Mus musculus: one gene and its partners. The protein of the gene in region 2 purifies or fractionates together with the protein of the main gene of each other region. This does not show direct contact. Links are inferred from orthologs where the notes say so. Each region holds a gene or a part of one and is shown on either strand. Other genes may lie near its edges. The genes, in order: Sdf2, Dnajb11, Tuba1a and Sdf2l1.

Evidence for each region.
Region 1: the proteins of Dnajb11 (region 2) and Sdf2 purify together in Homo sapiens (affinity purification with mass spectrometry; 3 studies listed by BioGRID and IntAct, counting the BioPlex papers as one, with this or other methods). This does not show direct contact. The link is inferred for Mus musculus from reciprocal best matches to the Homo sapiens genes DNAJB11 and SDF2.
Region 3: the proteins of Dnajb11 (region 2) and Tuba1a purify together in Homo sapiens (affinity purification with mass spectrometry; 3 studies listed by BioGRID and IntAct, counting the BioPlex papers as one, with this or other methods). This does not show direct contact. The link is inferred for Mus musculus from reciprocal best matches to the Homo sapiens genes DNAJB11 and TUBA1A.
Region 4: the proteins of Dnajb11 (region 2) and Sdf2l1 purify together in Homo sapiens (affinity purification with mass spectrometry; 3 studies listed by BioGRID and IntAct, counting the BioPlex papers as one, with this or other methods). This does not show direct contact. The link is inferred for Mus musculus from reciprocal best matches to the Homo sapiens genes DNAJB11 and SDF2L1.

The regions. Positions count from the first base shown.
Region 1 is NC_000077.6:78,251,423-78,257,056, reverse strand, and holds the end of Sdf2 (stromal cell-derived factor 2 isoform 1 precursor), read right to left. Parts: intron 2,207-5,634; coding exon 1,919-2,206; 3' UTR 1,561-1,918; downstream 1-1,560.
Region 2 is NC_000082.6:22,866,674-22,871,367, reverse strand, and holds part of Dnajb11 (dnaJ homolog subfamily B member 11 precursor), read right to left. Parts: intron 4,449-4,694; coding exon 4,316-4,448; intron 2,658-4,315; coding exon 2,515-2,657; intron 2,248-2,514; coding exon 2,165-2,247; intron 1,953-2,164; coding exon 1,895-1,952; intron 798-1,894; coding exon 686-797; intron 429-685; coding exon 269-428; intron 1-268. UniProt on the Homo sapiens protein: As a co-chaperone for HSPA5 it is required for proper folding, trafficking or degradation of proteins.
Region 3 is NC_000081.6:98,949,230-98,955,472, forward strand, and holds Tuba1a (tubulin alpha-1A chain), read right to left. Parts: upstream 4,273-6,243; 5' UTR 4,225-4,272; coding exon 4,222-4,224; intron 2,463-4,221; coding exon 2,240-2,462; intron 2,108-2,239; coding exon 1,959-2,107; intron 1,786-1,958; coding exon 805-1,785; 3' UTR 618-804; downstream 1-617. UniProt on the Homo sapiens protein: Tubulin is the major constituent of microtubules, a cylinder consisting of laterally associated linear protofilaments composed of alpha- and beta-tubulin heterodimers.
Region 4 is NC_000082.6:17,128,736-17,134,891, forward strand, and holds Sdf2l1 (stromal cell-derived factor 2-like protein 1 precursor), read right to left. Parts: upstream 3,649-6,156; 5' UTR 3,576-3,648; coding exon 3,389-3,575; intron 3,059-3,388; coding exon 2,862-3,058; intron 2,054-2,861; coding exon 1,772-2,053; 3' UTR 1,403-1,771; downstream 1-1,402.

The DNA of each region.
Region 1 (5,634 bases), on a different chromosome or scaffold from region 2:
CACAAAGCCAGAGGTGGAGAGATGGCTCAGTGACTAGGTTGAGCTTCCAGCAGCCCCAGGTTAATTTCCAGCTCACAGCTCACAGCACCTGTAACTCCAGGCCCAGGGGTTAGCTGCCTAGATGTCTTCTTCTGGCCTCTTTGGACATGTGATACACAGACATACATCCAAGCAAACACTTTATTACACATAAAGACTAAAAAGCCTGCAGTCACTGAAATTCCACCAGATGGCAGTCAGTTCTGCTCACCACTGCCCAGCCTAAGAATGTAGGAGCAAAGTCTAGAATTAACTGGAACAAGAAAGTTGGAAATGAGGTGGCAGAGGAAGGACAACAAAAATCTTTAAAAAGGAAGAAGCTTTTCTTTTCTTTTTTTTTTTTTTTTTTGTTTTTTGAGACAGGGTTTCTCTGTGTAGCCCTGGCTGTCCCGGCACTCACTCTGTAGACCAGGCTGGCCTCGAACTCAGAAATCCGCCTGCCTCTGCCTCCTGAGTGCTGGGATTAAAGGCATGCACCACCACGCCCAGCAGAAGCTGCCTTTTAAGAGCTAAACACACTGTGGTGCAGGTAAAAAGACCAAGGCAGGTACAGCTCCTATCCCAAAAAGTACCTACTGCTTTCCAGAATGCAGGTGGCTACTCAGGTTTTCTCTCCCACACTGTCAAAAGTGTATCTACCCTGTGAAGAGTCTATGATGTTTAAACGAAGGGTTGTCAGATGGTGCCTAGATTAGTAGTGAACTAATGTTGGTTTTGGTAACCCTAAGTCCTTTTCTCATCTACATAACAGATCCTCAGGAAGACATGACATCAGCTAGATATGATGATAAACTCTGTGAAAGTCTTCCTTACACATGGTCAAAATTTAATAAAGACGTGCTGGGGAAGGATTTGAAGGCACAGAGAGAAAAGGGTTATATGGAAATAAACCTCCTAAAAGGGCCAGCAGTGAAGATTCCTAGCACCTTGAAAGTCTTAGGGGGCCAGAGAGATGGTGGTTCAGTGGGTAGGAACACTGGCTGCTCTTCCCAGAGGTCCTGAGTTCAATTCTCAGCAACCACACGGTGGCTCACAACCATCTGTAATTCTAGTGAATCTGAAGACAGCTACAGTGTACTCATATAAATAAATAAATAAATCTTTAAAAAAAAAAAAAAGGGCTGGAGACTTGGCTCAGTGGTTAAGAGCACCGACTGCTCTTCCAAAGGTCCTGAGTTCAAATCCCAGAAACCACATGGTGGCTCACAACCATCCATAATGAGATCTGATGCCCTCTTCTGGTGCATCTGAAGACAGCTACAGTGTACTTACATATAATAATAAATAAATCTTTAAAAAAAAAAAGTCGCCAGGCAGTGGTGGCACTTGGGAGGTAGAGGCAGGCGGATTTCTGAGTTCAAGGCCAGCCTGGGCTACAAAGTGAGTTCCAGGACAGCCAGGGCTATACAGAGAAAAAAACAAAACAAAAACAAAAACAAAAACAAAAACAAAAAAAGTCTTAGGACTTGTGAATTAAGCAGTCAGATCATGAAATAGCCTGCTTAATAAATGACCACACAATGAATAAAAGTCTTTTTATTTATTTATTTATTCATTATTTTGGAGAAAGACAAAACAGGAGAAATCACAAATTAAGAATCCATGATGCCCAGTTCCTGCGGAGTTACACTTCCCAGCTAAGACAGGCAAGCTCCTCAACTTCTTTTACCAGCATGAAGAAAGCTATCTCCACCTTCACAGACGAGTGAGTCCTTTCCCGAGAGAACTGACTAAGCCTGGGAGAGCAACCAATTCAAGTGTGAAGGGCTGCAGGTCCCAAGGCAGCACGCTCAGAGGACCTGGAGCAGGGATCCCGCAGTAAAGCAGCAGCAGATGTCTACAAACACTGTGTGGCGACAGTGGCTCAGAGTATTTAGAGTCACAGCTCTGCATGATGGACCTCTGCCCTCAGCAACTCACTGGGCTTCATGAAGATGCCTTCCATGGCCTTCCAGTAGTTGTTCTGACTTGGCTGGGCCATACCATGTACCTCTTTTTGTCCACTTATGGGTCGTCCGTACTGTTCTCCTGTGACAGACAGCAGTACGTCAGTGGAAGAATGTTTGAACCTCACCTCACCATCTCTAACCCAGTAAGGTCCATTACAGAGCACTGTCCAGTCATCCAGATAGTCGCCTTCACCTTCTTCGCCAAAGGCACTCACTTCCTAAAAGACACAAAATGGTAACATTAACACCTGGTGGTCAGGGCTGGGGAGATGGCTCAGCAGGTAAGAGCACTGACTGCTCTTCCAAAGGTCCTGAATTCAAATTCCAGCAACCACATGGTGACTCACAACCACTCATAATGAGATCTGACACCCTCTTCTGGTGCATCTGAAGTCAGCTACAGTGTACTTATGTATAATAATAAATAAATATTTGGGAAAAAAACAACAACAACATGTGGTGGTTAGGTCTGAAGAGTGGAGGAATGGAGCTGAGAATGGTGGAGCCCACCACAGCTGTAATATTAGGGAACTGGAGATAAGAGCATTAGGGAGGTCAAGATCAACTGGCTACATAGACAGTTTGAGGCTAGCCTAAGCTAGAAGAGACCCTGTCTCCAAATAATAAGGAGTCAGTGAGAAGAAAAATAAAACTGCCCAAGAGAAACAGGATTGGGACTTTCTAGTGTTAATGCACAAATATTTGTGCTGTTGTTGTTTTGAGACAGGGTTTTTTTGTGTAGACCAGGCTGTCCTGGAACTTGCACTGTAGATCAGACTGGACTCAGAGATCTGCCTGCCTTTGGCTCCTACGTGATGGAATTAAAGGCGTGTGCCACGATACCCAGCTTGTTGAACATTTTTTTCTGCATGAGATAAACTGTGAGGGAATAAAAAGACACAAAGGGCACAAGGAAGAATGAGCTGTCTCGCCGGGTGTGGTGGCCCACGCCTTTAATCCCAGCACTCCGGAGGCAGAGGCGGCGGATTTCTGAGTTCGAGGCCAGCCTGATCTACAAAGTGAGTTCCAGGACAGCCAGAGCTACACAGAGAAACCCTGTCTCAAAAACCAAAGAAAAAAAAAAAAAAAAAAAAAAGAATGAGCTGTCTCAGATTATGACCCAAGCACTGACATACTATGTCATATGTTTTTTTTAATTTATTTTTTTAATTTTTTAAAATTTATACATTGAAGATTTATAAAAAAAAAAAATCAGGCACTAGATGTTAAATAATAATTGACCATGAGGCTAGAGAGTTAGTTCAGTGGTTAAGAGCACTGACCGTTAAAGATTTATTAACCTGCTCCTGGAAATATGCCACTAGCCTTGGACGACAGCGCCCACTGAATACATACTTTTAGAATTGTTATATTTTGATGATTTATAATGATGTTACCTGTTCTGTTTGTGATGCACTGAATAAATAGTTTCAGAGTTGCAATGCTTGGATGATTTTTGTGCTATACTGTGCCAAATGATTTTTGTTGGTATGTGATTGTTTTACTGGATATAGTTTCTAAGAGATGTAATGTTTGGTTTTTTAATGTATAAAATCCTCTGCTTGAGAGCTGCAAAATACATTCATTCAAACTGCCTCTGTGTTCGTTTCTGTTTGTCACCGTCGAATCCTTACCCACCTAAGTTCGAGGACACTCATTCCAGGGACCCCAAAACCTGACTGGGGTGGTCCATGGCAGGAGTCCATGTGGGCTCAAGTGTTCTTTCTTTTAAGCAGGTGAGACTATGGTGTACACTACTGCATTTGGTCTTCTGAACAAACTCATCACTTATTTTAACTTCTGGGGAGAGGATAATACAACCATACACTTGTTTCCAGGGATCCGGCACCCTCACAGACACATACAGGCAAAATGCTAATGTGCCTAAAGTAAAAATAAAACAAAACCAAAAATGGAGAAGTGGCTCAGAGGTTAAGAGCACTTACTGTTCTTCCTGGTTCCTGAGTTCAATTCCCAGTAACTACAACCATCTGTAATAAGATCTTTTTTTTTTTTTAAATATTTTTTTTTTAAGATTTTTATTTATTATTGTATCTAAGTACACTGTAGCTGTCTTCAGATGCACCAGAAGAGGGCGTCAGATCTCATTATGGGTGGTTGTGAGCCACCATGTGGTTGCTGAGATTTGAACTCAGGACCTTTGGAAGAGCAGTCGGTGCTCTTAACCACTGAGCCATCTCTCCAGCCCCCTGTAATAGGATCTTATACATAAAATTAAAAAGTTTTTAAAAAGTTAAAAACAAAAACAAACAAACGAACAAAAAACCCCAAAACCAACTCAGAGCATATGCTGCCCTTCCAGAGGACCCAGGTCTGATAACCAGCAACCCACACAGCCATCACAACCATCGGTAGCCCCAGCTCCAGGGGATCTGACGCCCACTTCTGGCCTCCAAGGACAATGCACACACAACACAGTGCACAGCTATACGTCTAGGAAAACACTCAAACACATAAAGATAAAAAATAATTCTAGTCAGGCACGACGAGGTACACCTATACTTTCAAAATGTAACAGGCTGAGGCAGGAGGAACACCTTGAGCTCCTGGCTGACTGGAGCTGCATGGTGAGTCCAAGGCTAGTACAGCGAAGCCCTGCCTCAAATAAATAGATGCATGCACACACACCACAGTCAGGGGCTGGAGAGGTGGCTCAGTGGATAAGGGCTTCTTGAGCATTCATGAAGCCCTGGCTTTGGTCCCCAGCACAGCCCCAAACTAGGCATGGTGGCACATGCCTATAACCTTGGGAAGCTGGAAGGTACAGTCAGGAGCTTCAAGAGTCAGGGACCAGCTGAGCTATAGTGAATGGGAAGCCAGCCCTGGCTACATAAGACCTTGTCTTAAACAAACACAATCCAACCTGGCATGTGTCATATGTAGTGATCTACATCCAGAAAATTATTTTTGTTACTTCTTTATAACTGTAATTTTGCTATTGTTTTAAATTATAATGTAAAAATCTGTAGGTGACCCTGTAAAAGGGTTATTTGACAATTCCAGAGAGGTCATGACCCACAGGTTGAGAGTCACTGCTTTAGACCATCTGTGATTGACTACACAGTGACCCTGTCTCAAAAATAAAACAAAAACCAATAATTTTAATTTTTTGTTCTTATACATACAAGTATTTGCCTGCAAGTACGTTGCTGTATCACTAGAGTGCCTGGTGTCCAGGGAGACCAGAAGTGAGCGTCTGATCCCCCGGACCTGGAATAAACTGAGCTACCATGTGAGAACTGAGCCTGGATCCTTTAGAAGAGCCGCCAGTGCTCCTAACTGCTGAGCCATCTCTCCAGCCCTGTACTCTTTATTGTACCAACTTACTAGTTTTTTTTGTTTTTTTTTTTTGGTTTTGTTTGTTTGTTTTGTTTTGTTTTTTTCGAGACAGGGTTTCTCTGAATAGCCCTGGCTGTCCTGGAACTCACTTTGTAGACCAGGCTGGCTTCGAACTCAGAAATCCGCCTGCCTCTGCCTCCTGAGTGCGGGGATTCCAGGCGTGCGCCACCACGCCTGGCTTAACTTACTGGTATTTTAATGTATCCTATTTTGACTTCCCTCACTTTGGTTTAGATGACCTGAAACCATTTTCTTCACACTTAAGAAAGAGATAGAGTCATTTCTC
Region 2 (4,694 bases):
CCTGAGCCTCCTGTCCCTCCCACTGACATCGCATCTTCCCTTCAGTTTGGCCTGGCTTCTTCACCTAAGCGACTCGATTCACAGCCCAGCTCACAGAGCCCTCAAGTGAGCACAGCGACAGCGGGGCTTCTTTGCTTTGCAGAAGGCCTGCAGCCATGTCTCCCAGCTCTAAAGGGTTTTGCTAGTTTCCTTTCAGACAGTCATCCCATACCATGCACACGTGCACACACACACCCCCCTACACACACAAACACACCCACCCCTGTACCTTCTTTTGCTTCCTCTGTCAGCTGTTCTTTTGGAAAGTCCACATCAAAAGTGATTATCAAAGAGCCCTTGATGTTATTGTTATCAAAGTTGGGCAGCCCTTCCCCTTTCTTCCACAGCTTGGCTCCTGGCCTGGTGATCTTGTCCCGGGAAATATGGACCTGGAAAGCAAAAGGAGCACAGTGGAGCAGGACAGGCACACACTAAGTCCATCACACAACTTCTACTGGGCACTGGGGACAATGCTAGTAGTGTCACAGCTCAGCAGAAAAGGCAGGTTGAAGGGCAAGGGTTGACAGGCACAGAGAGACTTAAAATACAGCTGGAGGCTCAGCAGCAGAGAGGACAGTGAGAGATGGCCTCTGGCTCTGATAACCCAAGAGCACATGGCTACAAAGCCGGAAGAGAGGGTGTTTACCTTGTGACCATCCAGGTGAGTTATGTCCATCTCAAAGCCAACCAGAGCCTCAACCAGTGAGACGGTCACATTTGTGTACAGGTCATCCCCTCTCCTCTCAAATATCCGGTGCCTGAGAAGGAAAAGGTAAAATCCATCAGGGTTTATAGTGCTAGAGAAATCCTGGAGACAGACGCACACATGGCATTTCTGAGATTACAGAGCTGTGTCAGTCTTACTGAACTCAATTGCTAAGTACCTTACAATTAGCACAAGTACACAAATGTAAGGAAAAAGCATTGATCATTAGGTTATAGAAAAGAAAGGCCATGCTTAGCTCGGTTTTCTGTGATTTCCCAAGTTACAGATAAGGTGAGACCACTGACTTCAAGGCCAGCTTGGGCTACAAAGTGAGCTCCAACCTCTTAACTCCCTACCCCCACCTGACCTAAGGTACCAGGCTTACTGAGGGAACACAACTGTTCTAGTTCCTCAGGGAAGCTCTGAGGGAGACAAGGCATGCAAGAAAAGATCACCCAATCAGGGTGCCGGAGGGGAAGCCTGGGAAGAGGAGCCAGTTCTCTATCATCTGGTGGGAACAATGAATGTTTCAGTGAAGCCTAAACACAGACCTCTTACTGGTTTCCAACCAGTTAATAAGAGAATAGTCAGTTGGAAAGGCCGAGTACTGGGTGTAAGCAGCACTCCGCACTGGAGGAAGCCTATGAAAGGCGAGGCTGAGGATTAATATGACCGAATGGTCTTGTTGTGGGAAACAAGGGCAGCATGCCTTATTCCTATTGCAGACTGCCTCTCATTCACAGCTCTTTTCACTTCTGGTGGTTTGTTTGTTTGTTTGTTTGTTTGTGAGATAAGATATAACGAATCCCAAGCTAGATGACCTTGAACTACGGATCTGTCTGAGCCACCTGGAAGGCACAGCAGGCGTGGCAGCCAGCAGGGCCCACACTGGGCAATGTGCATGTGGACAGTGCTCGACCAGCCCTCAGCTCTCTCTTAGATTCTTACCTGTCTTTCCTTCCAGCAGCTTTTGAATTTATAAGTCCTAAGTAAATAACTGGGGCTCAGGGCCAGCGCATCACCTCCTATTTTCAGTACTATTGCAGAGTTAGAAACAATGACTACGGTATTGTAGGCATAAAACAGAAGACAAAGTGAGGACTCCCTACCACTGCAATCGCTGGGAGTCCTCTCCCCGCTGGCACTTACTTGACAACTTTGATTCGGAACCGTAAGTCTCCGGGTTCCCCATCCACATGCGGCTCACCTGGTCAGGACAGTCCAAAGAAGAACAGAAGTTACACAAGCTGAACGTGTATTTGGTGTCACTTCTAGTGACTTTTAAATCCACTGCCTCAGGCGATGTCTCTGTCATATCTGTCTGGGAAGGCAATGCCTTCACTCCCCCCACATACCATGTAGCCGTTAGGTTATGGATAAGGCAGAAGTGAGCTCTGATAGTCAACACCAGCATCTCACCTTCTCCAATAAAGGGGTACTCCATGCCATCTCGCACCCCAGGCTCTATTTCCACTTCTAGTGTTCGTTCTTCATTCACTAATCTGAGACAAAAGGGGAAGAGAATAGTAATGGGAGCCCAGATAAATCAGCTCCACCTCTGAGCTCCTGGGGAGCCTCTTCTTGGATAGCCCACTGTGCTGTTTGCCAAGGCTATCTGGGCCTGAGTAGAGCATCCAGATGCTAACACTCAGAGGAGAGTGACTCTGCATCACATAGACATACAGGTTTGTGCTTGAGGTCAGAGCTGGAGGGAAACAAATATCTGTCACATGTGTCAACAAGACACACACTGAGGGCCTGTCACTTACTTGACATTAGGGCACTCGTCACAAACCACTTCCTGGGTCATTTGGAAGCGTCCCGGTCCCAGCTGTGTGGTTCTCATCTCTTGCCGACAGTTGCATTTCCGTTTGCCAGGAGCCTGCCTGGCCACAGGCTTGTTTCTAACTACCTAAGAACACATGAAACAGCCTTTAGTTTTCCTCTCTGGGGTACAAATCAACCCTCACACAGGGTGGAAGCAAGTGTATATTTAAATGACTCTGATCTCAGTCTGAATCTGTAGGAAAGGAGAGAGGGGAAGAAGAGACTAAAACCAGGTATTAATACCAGCATTTCCAAGACACACCAGGGCCTCTGAATTGAAGCAGTTCACAGGATTATTATGTTGTTGAGAAATCTGAGTTGTTTAAAGCACCACCCCCAGAGCACAGCCATGGCACTCAAAAGCTGCCGTGTGGCTACCTCCCAGTTCTGTGAGCCATCTCCCCAGACCACCTCTTTCTGTTTTAGGCAACCTAGCCCAGGACTAATCCCCAGCACTGTCACCATTCAGACACACTCATAGTCATGTCCTCGGGTACATGGTGAATTTGTGGCCAGCCTGGGCTATGTTATCCTCATCCCCCCCCCCCAAAAAAAAAACAAAAGAAGTACTTTAAGGCAGGACAGATCATGGTTAAGAGCACATCTTGCTCTTGTAGAGGATTGAGTTCCACTACTTATATCCACTGCCCTGAACACCTGCACTCATGCGCACACACACCTATAAAGATACACATAACATCTCATGTCGATGTGCTCATGTAGTGAAGTGACATAGCGTCTGGAGAAAACGCCCAGAGCAGTGCTCGCATGCCTTACAAGTGCACACAGCCATCTGATCGCAGCTCTGTAGGGAGCTCTCACTCTTCTCATGCACAGCGAGGAACCAGCAGCATTTAGTTAAGTGAGACAACAGGGTTTGAAAGCGTGCAGAGTAGCTGCAAAGCCCATTCCAAATGTTACAGAAAGACAACCTCAGGCAAAAGAAAGCCCAATTTTACTGGAGAACCCAGAAGAACTTTCTCATGTTAGAGCAGACTTTTAAAATTAACAATTAAAGATCAGACTTTTTCCACATTAAAATGAACACTTGTACTAATTAAAATAAATCTTAAATACTGTGTAAAGATAAGTTATATTATAAATGGATAACTATATCTGCATTACGGCTCACAAAAACTTAAGAGCAAAAATGAAGCAGTCTCAGAAATCAACAAAGCGGGGCACATGGTGAAACGGCATGTCACAAGAAGAAACAAACAGGGCAAATGAAAGAGATGTTTTGCCTAGTTGGAAATTAAGAAGCACAAACCAAGACCACAGTAATCCCATACCCACGTAATAACTAGGAGGGAACAGGGACTATTCCGTATGGACAGGGGCAGAGCAAACATGAACTGCCGTGGCATGCTGACTATTGACTTGGACAATTTCAAACATACTATGGCACTTTTGTGTGAAGCATAAATGTGTGGACCCAACCCAGCAATTCTACTTTCACACGTATCCATGATGGAGACATCCCCGCTCACGTGTAACTAGAGTACATACAGCGATGTTCACGTGTAGGACTCTTTGGGAGTTTCACTGAGTTCTCAGGCTAGGTAGTGAGCTCAGTTCGTGACTACTATGAACTAAGTAAGGATTCTGATGATTTCAACTATGTATGTGTCAGCCACTCCCTCTCATACTCTAAAAGACACAAAGCACTTGAAACTCTCTGCTTTGTGGTCAAAAGTACGAGTTCTGTGGGTCAGTGTGGGTAGGTGTACTGTGTGAACTCACTTCCACAAAATTTCCTGCGTACACTTCTTCCAGAGTGACTTCTAGATCTACGATGATATCACTTCCTCTTGGAATATTCCTGTCCTGCTGACGAGGGGTTCCTCCAAACATGAAGCCAAAGTCTCCAAAGAAGCTGTGGATACAGGCAAACTCATCAGGAGAAAGGACTCGGATCCTAAGTCTCACAACTGTTGATTTTCTTCCCCTTGATAAAATATTGTTCCTGCCAGCACACTATGCAAAACAGATATTCTTAATATACTGGGTCCAAATACAATACAAATTTTAATTTACATAATTTAATTTACAGGTTGCTGCCCCACCCCCAAATTACTGTTTAATACAATATGTCCCATACATAACAGCCAGACACTAATGC
Region 3 (6,243 bases), on a different chromosome or scaffold from region 2:
TACTGGGATTAAAGGCATACACCCACATGCCTGGCATGTATGTATGTATGTATGTATATATGTATATACTCTATTTCCCAACTGCTTTTTATGAAAAGGTCTCACGTAGCCCAAGCTGGTCTGCAGTTTGTTATATAGTATGTGACCTTTTAATCCTCCTGCCTCTGCTTCCCAACTGTTGATACGACAGGCCTACACCACAAAATCTTTTTTATATAGTACATAATTTCCATATAATGTGGTGGTAACCTGTCAACTTCACACAATGTGCAGTCACATGGGAAGATGTGCCTCCATCACACTAGTCTGTAATTAGGTCTTTGGGAGCATCATTTTCTTCATTAATGATTAGTGTGGGAAGGTTGGGTCCCCAGTGGGTGGCACCACCCCTGAGCAGGTGGTCCTGGGTCAGATAAACTGCAGACAGAGCACAGCGTGGCTCAAGCCAGGAGGTGCCATTCCCTCTTTGCCCCTTTCAGCTCCTGCCCCAGCCCCGCTTGATGGACAGACAGTAAGGTAGAATAAACCCTTTCCTCTGAGGTCGTGGTATTTATTTCAGCCAAAGCATGAAAGCTGGCACACACTCAAATATAGAACACAAGACAACTTTTAAGACAGGGAGTATTTTATTTAAAACCCATAAGTGAAATGGGCAGCTTGGGTCTCTGTCAAATCAATCATTCATAAGTCAGTAACTGTATGAAAGCACACATTGCCACATACAAATTAACTGATCAGACCACAACTTTCTGTGTTGGAACACAATAAACATCCCTGTGGAAGCAGCACCTTGTGACATTTAATTTAGTATTCCTCTCCTTCTTCCTCCCCCTCGCCTTCCACAGAATCCACACCAACCTCCTCATAATCCTTCTCTAGGGCAGCCATGTCCTCACGGGCCTCAGAGAACTCACCCTCCTCCATGCCCTCACCCACATACCAGTGCACAAAGGCACGCTTGGCATACATCAGATCAAACTTGTGATCTAGGCGAGCCCAGGCCTCAGCAATGGCTGTGGTGTTGCTCAGCATGCACACAGCTCTCTGCACCTTGGCCAGGTCACCACCGGGTACCACAGTGGGAGGCTGGTAGTTAATGCCAACCTTGAAGCCAGTGGGGCACCAGTCCACAAACTGGATGGTACGCTTGGTCTTGATGGTGGCAATGGCAGCATTGACATCTTTGGGAACCACATCACCACGGTACAGCAGGCAGCAAGCCATGTATTTACCATGGCGAGGGTCACATTTCACCATCTGGTTGGCTGGCTCAAAGCAGGCATTGGTGATCTCTGCTACAGAAAGCTGCTCGTGGTAGGCTTTCTCAGCAGAGATGACAGGGGCATAAGTGGCCAGAGGGAAGTGGATACGAGGGTAGGGTACCAGGTTGGTCTGGAATTCTGTCAGATCAACATTCAGGGCCCCATCAAATCTGAGGGAAGCAGTGATGGAAGACACAATTTGACCTATCAACCTGTTTAGGTTAGTGTAGGTTGGGCGCTCAATGTCGAGGTTTCTACGACAGATATCATAGATGGCCTCATTGTCTACCATGAAGGCACAATCAGAGTGCTCCAGGGTGGTGTGGGTGGTGAGGATGGAATTGTAGGGCTCAACCACAGCAGTGGAAACCTGGGGGGCTGGGTAAATGGAGAACTCCAGCTTGGACTTCTTTCCGTAATCCACAGAGAGCCGCTCCATCAGCAGGGAGGTGAAGCCAGAGCCAGTTCCCCCGCCAAAGCTGTGGAAAACCAAGAAGCCCTGGAGACCTGTGCACTGGTCAGCCTGTGGGAGAAAAGGAAATGTAATGTTTTATTAGGAGGGCATACTCTTAGCACTATTTGCAATTCCTTTAGATTGGGAGCCATATTTGCTTGATAGAAAAGACTTGACAGATTCTGACAGATACCAAGACACCCTCCCACTGCATTTTAAACCCATCCATATATGGCATTTACCAGCTTGCGAATCCTGTCCAGGACAAGGTCAATGATCTCCTTGCCAATGGTGTAGTGGCCACGAGCATAGTTATTGGCAGCATCCTCCTTGCCTGTGATGAGCTGCTCAGGGTGGAAGAGCTGGCGGTAGGTGCCGGTGCGAACTTCATCTGCAAAGGGAGAAGACGTCAGCCATCGGCCACCGAGGACACACACAAGCTCACTCACCCTTCTGGGTCTGGAGAGAGATTCTGAGTATGTGACCAAGAAGGAATGCCTGGGGAAGCCCCCAGCCAGCTTACCGATGACCGTGGGTTCCAGGTCTACGAACACTGCCCGGGGCACATGCTTGCCAGCTCCTGTCTCACTGAAGAAGGTGTTGAAGGAGTCATCTCCTCCCCCAATGGTCTTGTCACTTGGCATCTGGCCATCAGGCTGGATGCCATGTTCCAGGCAGTAGAGCTCCCAGCAGGCATTGCCGATCTGGACACCAGCCTGGCCAACATGGATGGAGATGCACTCACGCTGTGGAAAGAGGGAAAAAAATTATAAAATTAAGCTGTTATAATATTAAGCTGTATTTCTATTTTAGATCTTAATAGATTTCTAAAGTGTTTCTAAAAATAGAAATATTGTTGAAATTTATTTGGAGTCACATCCCTAATAACAGGAACAATGAGGAGTACTCACTACAAACACCAAAAGTGGGTGTGGCCTAGATGTCACCTTAATACTGCTTAAGACATGGTGCAAACCCATTGTTTCCAAAGCCTTGCTTGAATAGAACAGCTTTCATATTTGAAAAATATTTAAAGCATAGATTCTGTAAAACAAAATAATTATCCATAATAATACTAATTGCTTCTTTACCCGATAAGTAAGGATGAAGTTTTCATCCTATAGGACCTGGTATTTCATCATGGACATCTGCAGTGCGGCTGGGGCCAACAGCCACACCCTTCTGTGGACCCCATCAGTACTCTGGCTAGGCTACATAATAAAGAGTCTCACACTATAGGACCTTCTATTTCAACACTGACATCTGCAGTGCGGCTGAGGCCAGGAGCCACACCCTTCTGCAGACAGACCCCATCAGTACTTTGGCTAGTCGACAAGCTAGACAAAGTCTGATTTCTGCATTGCCACGTTCTCTGTGCCTGGTGCTAGCCTGTGCTGTTACATTATTTAACAGAGAAAGCTCTATTTCCAGCAGCTGTCTATGCGATCTCTTTGTGCTGCTTTCATGGTCCCTCCTAACCCTGGCTGGGGCCATTAGCCTGAATTAATGAATTAGTGCACATTTATTAGAACAAAAGATGGTTGGGTGCAGAGTATAATTTTTTTCTTTGCAGAAAATCCATTGTTTTTTGAAGGTTTTCCACTGTATGGAATGGAAATATTCTTAAAGCAGGCTAAGTTAGAAACAATGAGCGCCAACATTTTTTAAAAAAACAAGTGAAAAGATAGCTAAATTTAAAAGTAGAAAATAATATTTTTATCCTATGAATCTCTACATACCACTAATATTTCATTCTATAGAGATACACGTCTGTTGTGGAGGGACTACTTTCATTGTCTGCGGGGGTGGGGGGCGGGGAAGGGCGTTTCCCTGGGTTCTGACCATCAGCGTACTCTAGGATTCACAAAGTGGGCTTTGTCATTCCCCAACCATCCAGCTCCCCTCCCCCCTCAGCGAGATGTCCCCGTTAAGCAAATCGTATTTTTGACAGCCCTGCAGACGAAACATCCCATGACTACAGTTCCACAACGATTTTTTTTAAAGTAAAAATAAAAATAATTAAAAAAAAAAAAACCGCTCGGAAGAGGCTTAGTGAGAACCAACCCCTCCCAAAACGCCACGGAAGCAAGAGACAAACAACCCCGCCCCTGCGCCTCCCTGACAGCGGCTGCCATGGATCCGACGCAAACTAAACATTTTCCTAGCGAAGTGGGGCGGTGTTTCTGGAGTTCGGGCTCGGCCGCCGCCCCTGCCCTCCTACAGCAGCGGACCCTCGATCCCCCACCCGTCCCCGGCGGTCCCCGTGGTCCCCTGCAGTCCCTGGCTCTGCCAGCGCTAGCTCATCGGCGCTGCCTTTGTTCTTCCCGGTCTGGGCGTTTCCGTGTCCCGCACTGCGGCGGCGGGACTCAAAGACTAAGATAAACTTAAAGCATGGAGACCACCCTTTCCCCGCAGAGGTGACCAAAGCCTTAGACGTTTCCTTGCAGATCTGGGGCGACTGACACCCACCCTCTATCTACCGAGAGCCGGGGAAGGCTTGCTCACCATGGTTGCTGCTTCGCGGCTGCCGGGTGGATGGCGGAGGCGAGGAGGAGGTGTTGCTTCTTACAGCGCGACTCTTAGGCGGTCGATGTAAGAGAACCTGCGGCACTTGGGCGGATGCGGCTCCTTATATACAGCTCTGTCACCATGGGGATGGGCCAGGGCCTTTTCCTGTTGGTCCAGACCCCTCTGTCTGCCCAGAGAAGCCGCGACAGGAGAGTGGTGATTGGTGCAAGCGACATGGTATGAGGTAATCTCTCCCCCACCCCTTCCCCCTAGCATCCGTAGACTTTGCATCCTTCAGACAAAGGCCGTGCAAAGGCAGCTAGCCGAGCATCCATTATGGGGTGGAGTTGGGGAGGGGTGGAAAGGGAAGAAAGAAAACTGGGGTTGGATGATTATACGTAGTTTAAACCTTAAACTGTATTTAAAAATCATCTAAGGTTTTTCCCAACACTTAATCACAGAATTTATGTTTAGAATCTTTTTGGAAAATTCCAGCTTTTCATTTTTAATATACTGAATTTAATTACGTTCTGTCAGAATTCAACATCTCTATTTGCTTTAAAAAGTAGCAGAAGATACGGGGGTGGTCAAAAAGGCGTGGCTGAATGTTTAGTTTCATAGTTATTGTATTATTGTTATTCTTTATTATTATTTGAGCAAAAGTCAGTACGAGTAGACCACGCCTGTGACCTCAACAGCACCTGGGAGTCAGAGGCAGGAAGACTTGCAGCTCAAGGTCATCTTAACTGGCCTTAGTGGTTTATTCCTGTGTATCCCAGCACTGGGAAGCCGGGGATTGCAGCTAATTTGTGCCCACCCTGGATATATAGTGTGATATCCTGTCTCAAAAACCAAAAGAAAAAGAAAGAAAGAAAGAAAGAAAGAAAGAAAGAAAGAAAGAAGAGAAGAGAGAAATAATATACAAAGTAGTACTTAATACTAGAGAGCTTTCTTTCTTTAGCTGTAATTCTCTCCCATCACCCCTCCGTGCCCGCCCCCCTACCCCACCCTACCTCACCCCAGAGCCTGTGTTATTTTGTCCCTAGAAATGAGCCATCCTTTCTAATATGGAATTCAGAAACTGTAAGGAGAAAGAATTGAGTTTAAAAACTAGCTCTTTGTGTGGGCTTGTATTTCTCCAGTCTTTTTTTTTTTTTTGGAGGGGGAGGGGTGATATCAAGTAAAAAATAACTGAGATGCCAAATTAAAAAGAGGAGCGTTTTATAATATAAAAGGAAACCATTTTGTGATGTTTTCATCCCCAGACAACTGTGCAGTGCCAGCCCTGCTGCAGTTTTATGTAGTTCCCTGAATTCTGTAAATAGCCCCTTCCGCAGCTGGGCTTCTGACTGTGGGAACTGTAGCTGCTCTCCCCAAGGCTGCTCAGCCAGAGACTGTGGTCCTTGCTCAATTGCCCCTTGGGACAAAAATGCCTTGCTTTCACTCCTAGGAAATAGATTACAGTGGCACTCTCTTGCTATGTAGAAAGGCTCCGTTGTCAGCAAGGAAGATCTCTATATAGTGAGTCTCCGAGCTGCGGACCACTGATAATTTGCAGGATGAAATTTTAGAGGAAAAGAGATATTTGTTTGGGCACCGAGCTAAAAATGTGGATTTTGACAGATGGCTTCCCTTTCAGTAGCAGAGTCTTGGTCGCCCGCAGCTCTGTTTGCGAGCCCTGTGGAGTCCATTCATTCCGGCTGGGCTCCCAAGGCGCAGGGCGCTGGTGTGGGAGGGAGAGCCTTGGGAACACAGCAGCTGCAGGTTGTGAGCTAACAATGGTGGCCATGAGTTCTTCTAGCCTGAGGTCCACAGCTCTGCCTTTCTTGTTTAAATTTATCGTAAAAGTCTTTTCTAAAGAAAAACAAAACAAAACAAATCAATATAACCCACAAACAAAGAATTGTCTACTTCTTGCATATTTCCTAGGAAAAACAACCCCCTCATCTTCATTATTTTATAGCAGAGGGAAGAGAGATGACTTGACTACCTCTAACATGTAAGTATATCAGCAAGAAC
Region 4 (6,156 bases), about 5.7 Mb from region 2:
ACTCACTGATAAGTGGATATTAGCCCAGAAACTTAGGATACCCAAGATATAAGATACAATTTGCTAAACACATTAAACTCAAGAGAACGAAGACTAAAGTGTGGACACTTTGCCCCTTCTTAGAATAGGAAACAAAACACCCATGGAAGGAGTTACAGAGACAAAATTTGGAAGTGTGACGAAAGGATGGACCATCTAGTGATTGCCATATCCAGAGATCCATCCCATGATCAGCTTCCAAATGCTGACACCATTGCATACACTAGCAAGATTTTGCTGAAAGGACCCAGATATAGCTGTCTCTTGTGAGACTATGCCAGGGCCTAGCAAACACTGAAGTGGATGCTCACAGTCAGCTATTGGATGGGTCACACGGCCCCCAATGGAGGAACTAGAGAAAGCACCCAAGGAACTAAAGGGAACTGCAACCCTATAGGTGGAACAACAATATGAACTAAGCAGTACCCCGGAGCTCTTGACTCTAGCTGCATATGTATCAAAAGATGGCCTAGTCAGCCATCACTACAAAGAGAGGCCCATTGGACTTACAAACTTTATATGGCCCAGTACAGGGGAATGCCAGGGCCAAAAAGGGGGAGTGGGTGGGTAGGGGAGTGGGGGTGGGTGGGTATGGGGGAGTTTTGGTATAGCATTGGAAATGTAAATGAGCTAAATACCTAATAAAAAATGGAAAAAAAAATTACAGGTGTCCCTGTAGGTTTGTGCGCATGTGTGCAGGAATAAGAGGTCTGAGAGATCCCTCCCAGAACTGGAGTTACAAGTTGTGAACCACCTGACATGACATAGTTACTAGTCCTCTGAAAGTGCAGGCTGTGCTCCCAACTAGCAAGTCATCTTCCCTAGTTCTCTTCTTTCTTTAGGGCCTTGGATGTCCTAGTGGGGGCCTGCACCATGGGCAGGTCAGAGTAAGGGGGAGTGTGCCATTGCCATCAAAAGTCTGGGAGCCTGAGGTGTTAATTCCCAATAGATAGGCAGAATCCTCAACAGACCTTTAGTCAAAGATAAGTTTCAAAACTGCTGCAACCACCAGAAGAATGGGTTCCTGAGAGTAAGAGATGAGAGGACTGGAGAGTTTGAGCCCATCCCAGTTGGCAGGGGCCCTGCCTACGGCCAAGGCCCTTCAATAGAGAAATTGCCTAAGGTCAAGTCCTGGGAAATGAGGTCGGCGGCTCTGACGACACTGTATGGTAGACTGCAGAGTTAAACTGCACAGACAGGCATCCAGAAAAGGTTTGGGACAGTGAGATGGCTATGTGTACTGTGTGAAGCTGGCAAACTGAGAGTGATCTCTGGAACCAACATAAAGGTGGAAGATGAGAAGCGACTAGAGAGAGCTGCTCTGAGGTACAGGTGGCAACAAACACATCTCATGCACTCACACTTAGTAATAAAAATGAGTTTATTGAACAGGTTGGGGCCAGTTGTGGTGGTGTACACCTTTAATACCAGCACTCAGGAGACAGAGGCAGGTGGATCTCTCTGTGAGTTCCAGGCCTGCCAAGGATACATAGTGAGACAGTCTCAAAAAAAAAAAAAAAAAAAAATTTCAGCAGGTGCTTGAGACAGGTGAGATGGTAACTTGGACAGATATGGCTGGCACCTTCAGATCTTCCCCAGGGTTACAGCAAAAATAATCCCAGACCAACATTCTTTAATCATAAAGGCACTTGAGGGCCCCTACAAACAAAGTCTTACACAAGAGTGACCCCGAGATTGCCACTCAGCCACCCTCCCATCACTCATCTGGTTCTCAGAGTTCATCGTGACCCGTGGAGAGATCTGCTCCAGGCTTGATGAAGATTCCTTCCATTGCCTTCCACGTGTTGTGAGCATTGGCACTAGGCATGCCATGAACCTCATGCTGCCCACGGATGGGGTTACCATACTGTTCACCAGTGACCGACAGGAACACAGAGGTGCCCACGTGCTGGAAGCGGACACTGGCCTCTCGCTCCCAGTGTTGCCCAGAACATCGGACTGTCCACAGGTCCAGGTCATCACCCTCACCGTCTTCCCCAAAAGCACTCACCTCCTGAGAGTATAAGGTATAGGAACAGTCACACAGAGGGCACAAGCTCCCCTGAGCTGCATGTCTGGCCGTCATATTTGCACCTAGTATCCTGGGGCCTCTGCTCCTTTTCCTGACCTTCAGCATTCACAGCTATGAAAATGGAAGCCAAGAGTCCTGCCCTAGCTAGGCTCAGCGGCACACGCCTTTAAGCGTAGCACTCAGAAGGTATAGGCAGGCAGATCTCTGGGGGGTTTAAGGCCAGCCTGGTCTACATAGTGTGTTCTAGGACAGCCAGGGCTACATAGAGAAATCTGGTCTCAAAATAGACTCTCACCCCATTCTTCAGGTGCATAGAGCCTCTTGTATCAGACTGTGTAGTGCCAACTGGCCTTACCCCCAAATTCCCCTCCAACATTTTCCCCCTGAAACTCTCCAAAGCACTGTCAGATTCTCCCTGCGTCCCTCCCAGACCAGCTGCAATGAACACTGTACTTTAGTAGGAACTCTTTCGCAGAGGGGAAGGAGTAGGAAGAAGCTCCCACTTCTCTTTAAGACCCAGCCCTGAGTTTCTCCTTCCTGCAGTTTCCTATTATCTGCGCTGTGGGTCCACCTCTGTGTCCAAATACGAACTAATCTCTCACTTCTAACTCGGTGGAGAAAGTTACTGGGGACAGGACCCAGAGCAGGAGCTCCATAAACTTCTGAATAGAAACTCCCAATTCACAGTAGCTGACACTGAGTCCCCTCTTGGGCCCCTCCCCTACATCCCTCCCTCTGTCTTTGGGTCCCTGCCCCACGCAGCCTCTGTGGGTTTCGGAACGGGGCTTGCCTGGTTGTTGGATAGCGGCGACGGGAAGTGGTGCGTGTGCAGGTTCTTGCCGGTGAGCACGTGCGTGAGCCGCACTGCTTGCCCACAGCGCACTGGGAGTCCGCGCGGGCACCCACCCTCGGAGCCGCCGCGAATCCGCCAGTAACTATTGGCATCGTCGGACTCCTCCACGCCGGTTACCGACTGTTGGCCGCTGCCTGAAGAGTAACAGCCCACCCCACCCCGTGGATTCTTGTTAATCACAGACCTCCGGACCCTCGTCTTGAACACTAAAAAGTTTCCCTCACAGCCCCTACCACTCTAGGATCCAAAGAGCTCACCCCAGCCCAGGCCAGACCCTAAGTACCGGTGGACATCGCCCTCCCCCTTCCCGCGCATCCTCGATCCCTCAGGCTTGTCAGTCACGACCCACAAGCGAGTCTAGACTCGCAACCACCCAGCTCCCTGACAACCCACAGACCCCGCTAGGACCACCTAGTCTCTAAGCCCTCCGCCCCCTGGCGGTCCCAGTCACCACCCCTGCGCACCAGATCCGTATTTGATGTCGTGTGAGTGCAGCCGCACTTTGTGGTGGGTGTTGAGCAGCTTCAGCACTGACCCGCAGGTCACTAGCCCGGCGCTGGCCTTGGACGCGCCCCCACTCCGCACTGAGAGCGCCAGCAGCAGCCCCAGCAGCGTTGGCCCCGCTACCCTGCCCCGGCTCGCGCCCCACATCCCGCCAGCCGGCCAGGTTCCAGCTGCTCTAGACCTCTGCGCTTCCGTCCTCAACAGCGGCCAATCCAGCTCTGACAGCGCCCTCCCACGGCAGCCAATCGTCTGCGCGCGCGCGTTCCTCCTGCACTGCTATTGGACCGTGTGCAGCGGCCCCACCCCCAGCTTCCAAGGAGGTAGCTGGAAAGGGGTTGGAGACACCAGGAGGATTTTAACTGGTCCACGCTTCCGAGGACCCGCCAATAAAGCAGTGGCTGCGGCGAGCGTCCCCGGAGAGGCCACGGAAAGCCGCACACCCGGGTTGGTTGCTTCTAGTCACTTGGCTCCCGGTTAGAGATCCTCGGGTGTAGTAGGTATAGGAACCCCTTTGACCCTGGACCCCCTAAACTTTAGTCTCGTGTCCCTCCACTCAGACCCCGGGATAAAGCTACAGGTTCTTATGTTAATTACGAGATTTTGTGGTCTCAAAGTGGGCAGATAACAAAGTTATTGAAATCTCCTGGCCCCAGGAGTTAATCAAACTGAATCACATCAGTTTCTGGACCCCATGGTTTTTTAATTCTCTTAGTCATGCAGCTACTTGAGTCATTTGGTGGCAGAATCCTAAGGTTGCTGGATGACAAAGCTGTGAGCCCTCTCTCTCTCTCTCTCTCACACACACACACACACACACACTCACACAGTGCTGGCGCGCGCGCTCACGTACACACATTCACTCTATCCATCCATCCATCTGTTGAGTATTCACAAAGGAACTGCCCCTCCAGGCTACATTACTAAGAAGCTGATGAAGCATGTACTTAGGGCACTAGCTAGATACGCAGTAAAGTTTATGTTTGCATTAAAGTTTATGTTTCCGTCTGCAGATGTAGCTCAGTTGAGTGAGTCCAGCAAGCGCAAAACCCTGGATTTGATCCTTAGCAAATCAACCCTCAAGTAGTGGAGGCAGGAAGTTCAAGAATAAGTCTGAGGTCATCCGCCTAGAGAGGATGACAGGCAGACAACATGTTTCTAAGTAAGCTGTGTCAGAATAGTTAGAATCAAAATAGAGTCATTTGTCAGGCCTTTAACCCTAACACACACATGAATATGAGGCTGAGAAGGAGGGGATCTCGTGCATGAATGTCTAACAAGAATAATTTACAAAAGGCTCAGCCAGAACTGCCTTTCACAAAGGACCACAGCCTCACACAAAATATCTCTGCTTACACTCCAGAGCCAAAATGGGGGAACCAAAAATTCTTTTAACTTTTATGGGGCCTCACCTCATGACATTTTATATTTGTTTCCGTCTCTCTCTCTCTCTCTCTCTCTCTCTCTCACAGAAACTTTTTAAAACAGTTTTTTTTTTTTTATGTATATGAGTTGTAGCTGTCTTCAGACACACTAGAAGAGGGCATTGGATCCCATTACAGATGGTTGTGAGCCACCATGTAGTTGCTGGGAACTGAACTCAGGAACTCTGGAAGACAGTGCTCTTAACCAGTGAGCCATCTCTCCAGCCCTTGAAGTGGAGACTTAAGGACTCTATGTGTCAGTTGCATTGGGTTGATGTTTTGTTGGAGCAAACATGTGAAGGAACGTTTTGCTGAAGTGGACATAGATGAAAAGCTAAGACAGACTCATGAAGGAACATTCAGATAAAAGGATGTTTTGCTTAAACAAACACATGAAAGGACATATGATAATGGATTCTCTGCTAATGACACACATATATTGGTCCATCTTACATTTCGTAGTTGAGCTCCATTTGTCAGGACTCCATAGAGAAAAGTGCACCAAAAAACTTCTGGTGGTGGTATGTCTCGCTTCTTGCCACTTCTACAGACTCTGCCAATTGACAGAGTGATGTCAGCTGAGACAGACTCACATGGAGTTTTGCTAAGACAGACTCATGTGCTGAGGCAAGACCCATGGAGGACACATAATGTTTACAGAGAGAATAAAAAGGACTCGATGGACAGTGATAGACTTGGCTTGCTAACGTAGGTAGCTAAATGCTTGTTGGTCTTGCCTCTTAGCTGATCTTCCCTCCCTGAAAGAAGCACAGCCAAGAGTTTTTCCTGGCACTCCTATTGGTCCTGGTCCCTTCTGCTGATTCATTTGAATTGGGCTGAGGTCTTGCTGTCCCTGCTAGGTTGTGTCACTGCACACTACCGAACTGGAGTGCTGGTATATTTGTAGCCATTTGTGATTGGATCCAGCTTCCACTATTGACCTGTGAACTAAACTGCTGATTTCTTGGCAACACACATGAGATTTGCTCCAAAGAACAATTTCTAAACAGGTTCACTTTCCCTATATCCTTTCTTTTCCAGTTCTGGTGGGTGGTAGGCTAGACAGGACTTTAAAGCATTTAAGAAACATCAATAAAAGTAAAGAGAAAAAATAGAGCTGGGCGTGGTGCCCAGCACTCGGGAGGCAGAGGCTGGCAGATTTCTGAATTCGAGGCCAGCCTGGTCTACAAAGTAAGTTCCAGGACAGCCAGAGCTATACAGAGAAACCCTGTCTTGAAAAAAAAAAAAGATAGAGAGAAAATTAAAATTACACTTTTTATTGCTTCTTTGTGAGTTTCACATCATGT